2 linked regions of the Caenorhabditis elegans genome follow. The protein of the gene in region 1 interacts with the protein of each later gene in a pairwise test. Each region holds a gene or a part of one and is shown on either strand. Other genes may lie near its edges.

Region 1 (7,837 bases):
AAAAATGCACTTTCCCACCCAAAATTCAACAATTTTAATCATATGCCTATGGAAATTTGACACCTATTCCTCCTCCTCCCTAAAAAACTTCCCAATTTCACCAGTCATCACGAGTTGCCGCGTTGTGTATTGAAATATTGGCTGACTCATTGTTTATTTTTTATTGATTTCTCATATTCTCTGCTCGCTCGCTTTTTTTGACACTTATCAACTGAAAAACCTTGCTGAAAATTCAGTTTTACTCTTTTTCTGGAATATTTTAAATTAAAAATTAACATTTTTTTCAGAGAAATGGCTCAGGTGAAAGCCGAGTATGATTTTCAAAGTCAACCAAACACAGGCGAACTGTCAATCTCGGCTGGCGAAGTTTTGACGGTTATTCGAGAGGTAAGAGGCTTTTTGAGCAGGTGGAACAGAGTTGTTCGAGGATTTTTTGAATCGTAAAATGAAACAATCGGCTAAATTAATTTTGAATTCCCGCGTGAATAAATCGGCGTTTTCCCGTTTTCTGGCGAAATTCATCTGTTTTTTCTTAATTTTTTGTTTAATTTTTGTTTTAAAACACTGATTATTCGTTTTTCAGGCATTTTTCCGAAGCGAAAACTCGATTCCTCGAACAAAATACGCAGAAACTTTAAATCTGGCCAAACGTTGATAATTTACATAATTTTGTCAAACAAAAAAAAACTGATAAATGGTGTAAATTCATTGGTTTTGTCAGATTTCCAGGCGTTTTTCCTGAAAATTTCTTATCAATATATGAAATTCCTGATTTTTAGGCCAATTTTCGTCCGGAGAACAAGTTTTCTCCGCGGAAAAATGTCTGAAAAACTGATAAATGGCGTTTTAATTCAAATATCTCTTTAAAAAAATAAGAAAAACGAAAGAATTTACCCAAAAATGGAAAAAAAATCACAAAAAGAATTTATTATTCGATCATTTCAGCCCATTTTTTTCTATAATTTAAAGCAAAATCAAGAGTTTTTATTTCAGAACATCGACGGAGGATGGATAGAAGGTCGAAACGTGCGTGGATCCGTCGGACTCTTTCCCGAATCCTACGTAACTCCCTATCAAGCTTCTCGTCCGCCACCGGTAACCCATTTGTCTTCTAGTTAACCCACTTTCTCATCTATTTCCGGTTTTGATTGTATTTTGTGTGTGTGTGTGTGTGTCTTCGTTGTGTGTCTTCGTTGTGTGCATTTCTGCGGGGAGCATCTAAATTGGTTGTGGTGAGCCAAAAGCATCAAAATGATTGAAATTGCCTTCTCATCAGCATTTTGAGCTGCTGGAACCCTCTAGAAATCGCTGAATCTGATGCTTGTTTCCGAAAAATATTCAAAACGGAGAGAAAGATGAGTAAAAGCCCATGAAATTTGAATAATAAAAAAGATGGTGGAAGAAGAACGCAACAAAGAGGAGTGAGATGAAGCGGAAGAGACTGGAACAAAATAGAAAAAAAAAGAAAGAAAAACTATTTTGAAATTGGTTTTTCCTCGGGTCCCTGGAGACGTTCGGATCCTCCTACTCACTTGAAGACGGCGGTCCAGATACTTGAAAACAAAATAAGTAGATTCTCAAAGAAGCTCTATATACCTGATTCGTCTTATATTCCACTCATTCTGCCAAGAGATTTCCTACTTTTTATCCGACTTTTCGATCTTTTCGCGAATGCTCTTCACATCGAGTCTTCGAAAGGCCGTTGAGAACTACCCAACACCACCGGGCGGCTCATCTGAAGATGCTCATCGGCAGCTTCTCGAACGTCGTCGCAAACAGATGCTTCGACGACACACGTGTAGTACACTCATCAAACAAGACACATCTGCTTCACCGCATAAGATGAAGCCACCTATTCTGATGGAGGAAGAGGATGAACAGCATTCCACTGGGAAGCACTCGTCTAGAAAGAGCAGTTTTAAGAAAAGTGGAGCAATATCGAAGAGTGTAGGGGTTTTGTGTAGAAGATAATCTTTTCGATTCTTTCCAAACCTCTCAGAAATTCCTCGAAATTCTGAGGCAAATTCATAGGTGCACGTGGTGTCAGAGTGTCTCATTTCGGTTTGACCTACGTAGATCTACAAAAAATGCGGGAGAAGAAACGCAGAGTTCTCCACTAATTTCGTATGGTTAAGAACGTGCTGACGTCACATATTTTTGGGCGAAAATGCCCGCATTTTTTGTAGATCAAACCGTAATGGGACAGCCTGGCACCACGTGTAGGTGCCAAACAGAGTAAATTTTGACAATTTGAAATTTACATTCGCTCACATGGTGCCAGGCCGTCCCATTACGGTCTGATCTACAAAAAAAATGCGGGAATTTTTTGCCCAACAATGTGACGTCAGCACGTTCTTTACAATTCAAAATCAGATGAGAACTCTGCGTCTCTTCTCCCGCATTTTTTTTGTAGATCAACGTAGATCAAACCGAAATGGGAAACTCTGACACCATGTGTTCGCTACCAAACTTAATGAGGTCGATCCTCAAATAGGACACCGCTGGAGACTCCACAAAAGCTCACAACAGATTTGTTTTGTTATTCTACAGTAATCCTACAGTACTCCTACCGTACCATATCACAAAATAGAGCTCTAGTAGTTGGTTACGGGTCTCACCACGCTGACAACAAGTTTCTGTTACTCGTGTCGATTTACAGTTGTCAGCGTGGCGAGACCCATTTTCTTGTGACGTATACGTAATAACTGTAGCTCCCAGAGTGCTCCATTCCGGCTTGATCTACGTTGATCTACAAAAAACGCGCGAATTGAGACGTAGAGTTATCCACTGATTTCGCACAGTACCATTTCGCTTTGATCTTCGAAAATGCGGGAGAAGAGACGCAGACATCTCATCTGATTTCGCATGGTTAAGAGCGTGCTGAAGTCACAATTTTTCTTGAAAAGTATCCCCGCATTTTTCGTAGATCAAACCGCAATGAGACAGCCTGACACCACGTGTGCACGGTTAAAAACGTGCTGACGTCACATTTTGTCGGGCAAAAAATCCCGCATTTTTTGTAGATCAATCCGTGATGGGACCACATGACACACAGATCCCATTTCAATTTTCTAACTTTTTAAACAATTTCATAAATACTCAAAAATTCCAGGTCCTACCACCACCACTCCCACCAACTTCAAGCGGTCCACCAGCTGCCTCATCGCGTCCTTTTGATGATTGGGGAGGCGCTTCAGAAGTTGCTGCTCCACCATCCTACGGAGCCCAACATCATCATCAGCCAACGCCATCTGTACCGGAAGTCACTAGATCTTCATATCCATCACAGAATGATGATTTTGACGATGAATGGACGGATGAGGATGATGAGCAGGTATTTTTAAAATTTTATTTTAATTTTTTGATTGTCCAGTTTCTGTCCGTCCTATTTATACCCTCTAACTCCTAAATCTATATATCCTAAAAGACCAAACGAAAAGTCCAAAAAGAATAGTCATCCTCCTCAAAAATCGCCGGGAAACGACATCGTTGTCGTCGCCGCCGCAACTTGGTTTCCGGTAGAAGTCGTCTCTCCACTCCGTCGCCGCTGGACCCTCTTCTCTTCGGACATTTCATTTCTAATCATTCGAAATTCTCTCTCTTCGTCGTCGGCTGCGACTATTTAAATGTCATCCAGATTTATTTGCTACTACTACAACAACTTCTGCTGCTGCTGAAATTTTCGCGAATGCTGTTTGCTCGTGGACGATCCTCGAGCTTTATCGCTCTAGATCATCTACAAGTTAATCAGTCGCCGTCGTTTCAAAATGTAAAGGACATTTTTATTTAACTGGGATTTTTTATTTAGAATTTTTTTAAGTTTATAGGTTTTATTAATTTTACTCCAACTAACTCTAGCATTCAAAGGTTTTTTCTTAATACACGTGAAGTCAGAAAGTCCCATTTCGCACTTTGATCTTCGAAAAATGCGGGAGGTGAGACGTAGACATTTCAACCAGGGGTGTGCGGCAAATTTGCCGAATTTGTCGAATTTGCCGTTTGCCGAGCTCGGCAAATTTCAAAAAAGTAGATTTGCCGAATTTGCCGAGCTCGGCAAATTTCGAAATTTGCCGCACACGTCAAAAATTTGACAGTACAATTTTGACTAAAACTATTGATTTTTTAGCCAAAAATTTAGTAAAATGATACAAAATTGAGCTATTTTGATGCTTAAACAGACATACTACGCGGAACTTATTCAGAAACCAGATGTGTGTTAAGAATTCAGTAGTTTTGGTGCTCCAAAAAACATAAAAAAAATATCAAATTTTTCCGAGTTTGTTAAGCACGGCGAGTTTGCCGAATTTGCCGAATTTGCCGAGCTCGGCAACTTTGCCGAATTTGCCGTGCTCGGCAAATATTGAAAAAAAGAGATTTTCCGAATTTGCCGAGCTCGGCAAATTTTGAGATTTGCCGCACACCCCTGATTTCAACTGATTTCGTTGATAGCGTGCTAACGTCGTAATTTTTCTGGGAGAAAATTCACGATTTTTTTGTAGATCAAACTGTATTGGGACACACCGCTCCACTGCAAATGAAAACTCTCCGCCCCCAATAAAATAGGTCTCGTTGGGTATTAAACGTGCTCAAAAAAATCATTAAAACAACGGAAAATTCTCAAAAATTGGCGAAACTGATACCTAACGCCAAATACACGGGGTGTCAGGCTGTCCCATAACGGTTTGATCTACAAGACGCGGGAATTTTTCGCCCAGAAAAATGCGACGTCAGCACGCTCTTAACCATACGAAATTTGCTGAAAAATCTGCGTCTAAATTCCCGCATTTTTTGTAGATCACGCCGAAGTGAGACACTTTGACACCAATACCTAACGAGACCTATGGTTCGGGGGCGGAGCACCTTTTCATGTCGGTTTCAAAATTAATACTACGCATACAATTAAAAAATCACCCTGAAAAACAAAAAAAAAACCCAAATTTTCTTCTCAAAAATAGGGATATCCCTTCTCAACTGCTCTTTGCAACACCCCGCGCTTTATATGTGCAAGCATCTCTCCTGATTGCTGCTATTGAGAATCCCCCAGCACTCTCCACCAGCTCATTTTTGCTCTGTCGCCACCCGACGCCTCTCGAAAACTATCATCATGTGTTGAGTCTTTTTTGGTGATCCTATTGGATATCCATACTCACATATATATATATATATGTATATATATATATATACATATATCCATATATATATATACATGCAAAAATGCGTCGACTGCGTCAATCGGACGCCGACGTCTTCTTCTATAACCGTCCTATTCCTATTACTGAAATTCGTGGATTTCATAGGGCGAGCGTCTCGTTCTCACCGTCGTGGGTTCGTTTTTAGATATTTTAGGGGAAACGTTCAGCGTTCTAGCACTTTTTGTAATCCGTTGATTAAGGAACACCGTCTGTCCGTCCATGATCAAGTTGTGAATTATCAAAACTCGATTCGTCATCATCATCATCGTGCAAGTGGGTCTCGAACGGATATGTCCACTGACGACGAGACGAGGAGTAGTCAGCAAGGTTATTAGAATAGTTCTTGTCGGCGAAGCATTCGGACATCTATTACACATTCGTTGGAAGGTTAGATATTGAAGAAGAGATGATGTTCCTCGCAACGAAAAAACGTGGAGCCACGTGGCTTCTCTGTTTCTCTCTTTTCGATCTCTCATTTCCCGCGAATGTGCAATTACAAGATTTTCAAAGCATAGTGGCTTTAACAACGCTCACACATCTCATTGCAGACGGTGCCTACCCCTCTAGCAAAAGAAACGGTAGTGTGGGCTCGTCTACCCGCTCCACGAGCACCAAAAAGCGCTTGAGTAGGCAAGATAGCACCGCCCGACGGAGACGTCTCAGTGAGGAGAGAGATAGTCGACGGAGAGTTGAGAAGTCGGTGAGCTCGTGTTTGAGCTCGAATCGGTCTCACCACGATCAGAATAAGGTTCGGGTTGTTCGATAAGTTGTTTCAAGTGGTGTCAGAAAGTCTCAATCAGGGCTGAGCAGTCGCCCAAAAAAATCGGCGATCGGCGATCGCCGATCGCCCAAACTTTTTTTTTTTCGGCGATCGGCGATCACCAATTTCCGAAAAATTTCGGCGATCGGCGATCACCAATTTCCGAAAAATTTCGGCGATCGCCGATTGCCGATCGCCGATCGGCTATTTTAACCGAGTTATTCGGTCAAAACACCTTTCCGTTTTTTTGTTTGGTAAGGAAATGCGACGAAAAATTAACATTTACTCAAAAAAAAAATTAAAAACAACAAAACAATCGTTTAAAAAAAACATGAGATTTTAAAAATCGAGATGAATTTATTGAAAAATTCCATCGGCGATCGGCGATCGCCGATCGCCGAAAAATCACGAAAATCGCCGATCACCGATCGCCGATTGCCGCTCACCCCTGGTCTCAATGCGGTCTGATCTACAAAAAATGCGGAAATTTTTCGCCCAAAAAAATTGTGACGTCAGCACACTCTTAACCATGCGAAATCAGATGTCTGCGTCTCACTTCCCGCATTTTTCGTAGATCAGAGCGAAGCGGGACTTTCTGACTCCACGTGTTGTTTGAGGCGTACGGGACTGCTCGTTGTTCTGATTGGCTTAAAGTATCAAGCTTCCTTAACTATTGAGGTTGTTATGTAACGCATGCATGTTTTCCTTATTTGTGTCCAAAAAGTTATAAAATAAAAAAAATCAAAAAATTCCGATTTCCAGGAACCAACTCGGCCCAACGTTCAATCCTCGATCGGCTCGAACTCCCGTCGTGACCTCAGCCGTAGCCACTCGGAACACGGTGGACCTGATCGAGGATCCAATAAGGTCAACAAGAACATCAATCGATTCTCGAATTTTGTAAAGTCCGGAGTCGAAGCGTACGTGATTGGTGAATCAAAGACCACCTCACAGATTAGTGAACGACATGAAGTTGTGATGAACAATGGAATTATTCAATGGAAACCGATTCAACAGTACTACACGTGTATAGTGGATAAACCGAAGAAAGAGTCAAAGCTGAAAGGGCTGAAGAGCTTCATCGCATATTCGATTACGTCGAGTTTGACTAATATTCAGGTAAATTTGTAGATTTCGACGCTTACTAACCGCTTGCTAGCGTCAGGTATCCCGTCGCTACAAGCATTTCGATTGGCTCCACGAGCAGCTATCGGCTAAATATGTGCTCATTCCGATTCCACCGTTGCCAGAGAAACAGGTCGCCGGAAGATACGAGGAGGATCTTATTGATCATCGGAAGCACATTCTTCAGTTATGGGTCAACAAGATTTGTAGGCATCCAGTGTTGAGTCAGTCGGAAGTTTGGCTCCACTTTATCAGTTGCACCGACGAAAAAGATTGGAAGAATGGGAAGCGGCGAGCTGAAAAGGATGAATACATTGGTGGAGCTTTCCTGAACTGTATCACTGTTCCACATCAACCATTGGATCCGAATAATGTGTAAGAAACTAATAGAATTCTACGCAGAAAGTTTGATAATCCTGCGTAATCCTACATGTTTCCAGCGATATGCAAGTTGAACGATTCCAACGGAGCGTCAAAACATCGGAAGAAGCGATGCGTGTGATGCAGGAGAGAATGAACATGTTCCAGAAGGTCTTCGCTGGACGTATGTTGGAAATTTTCGAGCTTTAAAAATTTAAATTAAAAAAATCAAATTTCAGCGGTAAAACAAAATTGGCAAAAGATGGGAAGCGCGTTCAAGACACTTCAGCAATCTTTTGAGATTGATGAGACCGTTGGTATGAATCTTTGGATTTTTAAAAGTTCTTGGATAAATTTAAAAATTCTAATTTTTCAGCCAGTCGCCGCCTGACAGAAGCTC
Region 2 (5,094 bases), 790 kb from region 1:
GCTAATTTTAAAAAAATCGAAACATCGAAAAATTAAAAAAAAATTGCGGGGACACATCTCTCTGTGTCCCCGCAAATTTTCGTCTCTCGCCTTCAGCATATGAAATGGGATGTCGGCCGATGTCGAAAAATACAGAAAAAATGTCGAAAAATGCATGCGTTTTTTAAACATTTTTCGACACACATGAATAAGGAAAAACGTATAAAAATACATTCTTTGCATTTTTCCACATCGCATGAATAAAACCATAACTTTCGGAAATCTGAAAAAATCTCAAAATTATTCCAGATTGTGACTACAAACACAGAAGTGAATGAGATTGATGATATGGAATGTTAGAGTAAGCAGAGTCGATCGTCACACCAACAATGATCTCAAATTACATTCTCTTTCTCTATCTTTTTTTCGTTTTGTTTATGTTTTCAGAGTATTGAAGGGAATATCGAGAGAATTGTTATAATTTATTTCATTATTATTATATCATTATTACTTTTTCTTCTGTTGTTGTGCTCTTCGTTTTGTGCATTAAAATCATATTTTTTAATCCAATAATTTTTTTTCTTTGTCTCCAAAAAAATGAAAACGCGTGTCCATCGCGAGAGACTATATGAGTTTTTCCCTAAAAATCGCAAAAATGGAGAAACAAACTTTCAGAAAGTAATGAAAAATGTATGAGAAAAATTACCGAAAATTTAAGAGACTTTCCGGAAATTCCGCAAAATTAAATTTTTTTGAAAATATTGGAAAAACTAAAATTTTCGATCTTTAAATGTTCTCTAATAGTAAAATCGAAAAACGAACAAATTTCGAATTGAAAAAAAAAATTTTTGAATAAAATCGAAAAACCAAAAACTTTTAGATTTTCCAATATTTCGACTTTTCGAAAAAATATCTCTTAATTTTTAAAATTTTGTTTTTCCGATTTTCACTAAAAAATTTAAAAACGAAAATTTTCTGTTTCTTAGGCGTAAAAAAACAGATTTTAGTGAAAAAATAAATCTAAAAGTTTAGGGATTTTTTTCAGTTTTTCGTTTTTCCAATATTTCGAAAAAAAAATTTTTCCGATTTTTCGAATTTCTTCAACATATCACGAAAACACTAAATTCTGAGAATGCGTAGCACAACATATCTGACGCACAAAGTATCTCGTAGCGAAAACTACAGTATCCCGTTGAATGACTTCTGTAGCGCTTATGCCCATTTACGGGATCTCTCGATTTTTTTTTGTCATTTCTGTGTTATCTTTCAAAATATTTTATCGATTAATGAATAATTTCCGTAACAGCGCTACAATAGTATTTTTATATATTATAAATTACAGTAGTTTTGGCCACGAGATATGTTGCAAAATACGCATTCTCAGAAATTTGTGTACGCGTAATAAACAAAATTTGATAGAAATTGAATTTTATTGTTAATCTTTTCAATTTTTCGATTTTTTTTTTGAAAAAATTGAAAAAAATCTATTTTCTTCGACATTTCGAAAATAAATAATTTTTTTCCAAAATAATATCTTTAAATTTTCGCCATTTTTCTTTATATAGATTTTCCGAAAATTGGAAAAATTGCAAAAAAATGCCCAATGACACCCGTGGCCGGGACCGGGAGGCCTAAGAGATTTAAAAAGACAAAACACGTATAGTTAGTCGGTTTTTTCTTCTTTCTTTATATGCTTCTCGCAGGGCTTTTCCCCTTCTGCCATCGTCTTCCTTTTTTCTTCGTCAATATATTCACATCTCTGCGTCTCTCCCAATGCATTTTTCTGCGTCTCTTCTATTCACGTACTGTCTCACTCAGTCTGCCATCCGCGCAGACTCGTTATTCTATTCTCACCACCACCACCACTACTGAGGTTCTTTTATTTTTTTTTGTTTTTTATTTTTTTTTAGTTTTCTTGGTGTTTTTTCTTTCTTGAATTTGTGATTATTTAGAGAATGTCAGTTCGAGGGATTCGGATATGGCGGAGGAATGATGCACGATTTCAACCATCAATCCTTGTCGAAAAGAATGGATTAGATGGATCTCTTTTGTTTCAGGGTGGAGCTATTGCAACGTTAGGTAAGGTTTTTGAAGAAATTATTCAAAAATATTTTAAAAATTAATTTAAATTTAAAAAAATAATCCGAAAATTTGGATAAAAGTTGAATAAATTCGTTTAAAAAATATTTAGACATTGGCCGAAAAACATTTTTTTAAAATTAGTTTTTTCTCATTTTTTTCTCAAAATATTTTTGAAAATTTGAAAAAAACATGTGGTAAAATATTCCGTATTACGTTTTTTACTGATGAGAAATTTTAAAGAAAAAAAAATTTAAACTCCAGAACTTATAGAATTATTTTATCGAAACAATCCATTTTATTACGGTTTTTTAGTTTTTTTTTCAAAGGTGGAGTACCAAAACCTGAGAAATATTTTCAAATGACTCCAATTTTTCCCCTAATTCCGAATTTCTAATTATAAAAATTCAAAAATATTTCCCTGATTTTATAGTTCAGCTTGAAATCGCTTGTTAACCCATGAGATTTTTCAAACAGCGAATTTTCGCGCCAGAGACGTCATGTGTCGATTTACGAGATTTTAAATCTTGCTGATTTCCGTTTTTCAACAAGTTTCCTCGATTTTCGTCGGTTTTTGCCAATTATTTTTGAAAGTGTGTTTTTTAAAGGAAAAATTTCCAATTTTCCGTCGAGTTGTGACCTAAACATTGGAAATTTTGTTAGTTTTTTAATGATATTATGTTTAATTGGCTTTTAAAAAAACCCATTTCAATTTTAAAAAAACTTGGCAAAAACCGACGAAAATGAAGGAAACTCAATGAAAAACAGAAATCAGCATCTGATAAACATTGAAAATCTCGTAAATATACACAAATCTCATAAATCGACACATGGCGCGGAAATTCGACGTTTGAAAAATCTCATAGAGACGCAATGCGATTTCAAGCTGAAATATAAAATCAGGGAATATTTTTTGAATTTTTTTCCCTTAGATATTCGGTATTAGAGGAAAATTTGGAGAAATTTAAAAATATTTCTCATCCACATTTAAATTTTTTAAAAATTTCCCACATTTGCCAAAATTATCCTCCTCTTCCAGATTCGGATTCAACAGACGTTGAACGAAGATCATATCAAAAGATAGTTGATGCTTATGGAATACTTGGAGTACTTGCTATTACAAAAGATGAAGCTGTTCTAGTTGCTGTTACTGGTGTACTTTCAGTTGGACAACTTTATGGAGCTGATATTCTTAAAATTACAAATGTCGAATTTATATCGTTACGAACGTTTGGTTCCGTCGAAAATGTTGATTCCAGAATTATCGATGTAAGTTTTTTAAACAATTTATTAAAGTTTTTAAAAAATTTATCTGATACATTAAAAAAGATCCAAAAAAAGTAAAATTTGTAAAAAAAATGAAAAAAAGAAAATTTGTGAATTTTCAGGGTTTCGAATTCGAAAATTTGAACCTTTTTTAATATCAAATTTTGAGTTCAATTTTTTTGGGCTATTTCGACTTTTTTGAAGTTTTAGACCAAAGCATTAGGAACTTCAAAAAATCATTTTTTTCGAAAAAAAAATCCAAAAAAAATTCAGTTTTTACAGATAAACCAGTGCAAACGCTGAAAAAATTTATTTCTCCAAAAAACTTTAAAAATACAAATTTTTCACAATTGCAAATTTTTTAAAAGTAAAAAATTAATTTTTTACTTTAAAAAATGCATTTCTTACAAAAAAAAATCGCCGGGATAGCAGAAAAAAATCATTTTTACAGAAAAAAATTTGTAAAAAAGATTCGTTTTGTTTTTTCAAGAAAAAAGCACAAAAGCCAAAAAAAATTACAAAAAAACCGTGGAAAAATCGATATTTCTGACAAAAAACCTCTAAACCTCTATTTTTCAGTTACAGCGACAATTTATAGATTTGAAAAAAATGTTTGAAAAAATTATTAAAAAAATATTAAAAAATGTGTTTTTCATTCAAAAAAAAAAAGATCTTTCGAGAAAAAATAACAAAAAAAAATTTGCTAAAAAAACATTTAAAATCCTCCAATTTTTTGCAGTTACAACGACTACTTTCATCTCAAATGTTCTATTTTTCATCACTTCAATCATATGATCTCACTCGTTCAGCTCAACATCGTGATTCACATGATTGTAGTGATGCACGATTCTTCTGGAATCGAAGTCTTCATTTTTCATTTCAAAGATATGGAATTGATACGGATAATTGGTTGTTGAAATGCATGGCTGGGTAGGTAAAAATTCATGTATTTGGGTCTCGACGCGAAAATCAAATAATGTTGAGTATGTTTCTCGTGGCGAGACCTTTAAGTACGAAAAGTTGCGAATTTACATATAAATTTAAAAAAAAACTTTAAATTTAACAAAAGTGGTTTTTTTTTGCAATTTTCTAATTTTTTGAAAATTTCAATTTTTTTTAATTACAAAAAAAAGTGATTTGAAAAAATAAGATAATTTTTGTGGAATATAATAAGATTTTCAGTTTTTTTGAAAAAAAAACGAATTTTTTTTTAAATTTAAAATTTAAAACTTTGTTGTAAAAATCATTATAAAAAGCCGAAATGAATTTTTCAAATTTCACTTATTTTTTAAAAAGAATTTTACAATAATACACAAAAATAATACAAAAATCTTTATTAAATTTCTGCTAATTTTAATTTTTTTTAGAATTAATTCGAAATATTTTTTTTCGTGGTGAGACCCAGCCGAGTTCCCGGAATTACAAGATTTATCATATACATTTTTTTTTTTGAAACACCTATTGTCAAATCTTTCAAAAACATTTTTTAAAGTGAAATTCAGTATCATTTTTAGAGTTTAGAGCTAGTTATTTTTTCTCTTAAATTAATAACTTTGTCGTTAAAAAAATCATTATAAAATCCAATAATAAACAACTTTTTTTTCAATTTTTCTACTTAATATACAAAAATAATACAAAATCTTCATAGATTTCTGTGAATTTCAACTTTTTTCCGCTTTGATTTCATAATTTTTCACACCTATTTTTTTCCAGATCAGTTCTCGTTCGTGTTGTGTATGTCGGTGCAAACACAGGACGTGTTGCTCTAAT

What was found.
Region 2: the proteins of lst-4 (region 1) and unc-26 interact in a two-hybrid assay, tested with the Caenorhabditis elegans proteins (one large-scale study listed by BioGRID).

The regions. Positions count from the first base shown.
Region 1 is NC_003282.8:14,062,305-14,070,141, reverse strand, and holds the start of lst-4 (Sorting nexin lst-4), read left to right. Parts: upstream 1-1,671; coding exon 1,672-1,947; intron 1,948-3,112; coding exon 3,113-3,334; coding exon of another isoform or gene 3,335-3,409; intron 3,410-5,479; exon of another isoform or gene 5,480-5,482; coding exon of another isoform or gene 5,483-5,519; intron 5,520-5,740; coding exon of another isoform or gene 5,741-5,940; intron 5,941-6,714; coding exon 6,715-7,071; intron 7,072-7,111; coding exon 7,112-7,452; intron 7,453-7,517; coding exon 7,518-7,621; intron 7,622-7,676; coding exon 7,677-7,754; intron 7,755-7,813; coding exon 7,814-7,837. UniProt on the Caenorhabditis elegans protein: Involved in the signaling of vulval development by acting as a negative regulator of epidermal growth factor receptor (EGFR) signaling. Aids in phagosomal membrane tubule formation which is required for phagosomal fusion with endosomes and lysosomes.
Region 2 is NC_003282.8:13,269,352-13,274,445, reverse strand, and holds the start of unc-26 (Synaptojanin), read left to right. Parts: upstream 1-1,929; 5' UTR 1,930-1,934; coding exon 1,935-2,058; intron 2,059-3,097; coding exon 3,098-3,327; intron 3,328-4,063; coding exon 4,064-4,254; intron 4,255-5,037; coding exon 5,038-5,094. Other genes in the region: cpsf-3 (Cleavage and polyadenylation specificity factor subunit 3), read left to right, coding at 289-339. UniProt on the Caenorhabditis elegans protein: Probable inositol 5-phosphatase which regulates synaptic vesicle recycling in neurons by regulating clathrin-mediated endocytosis.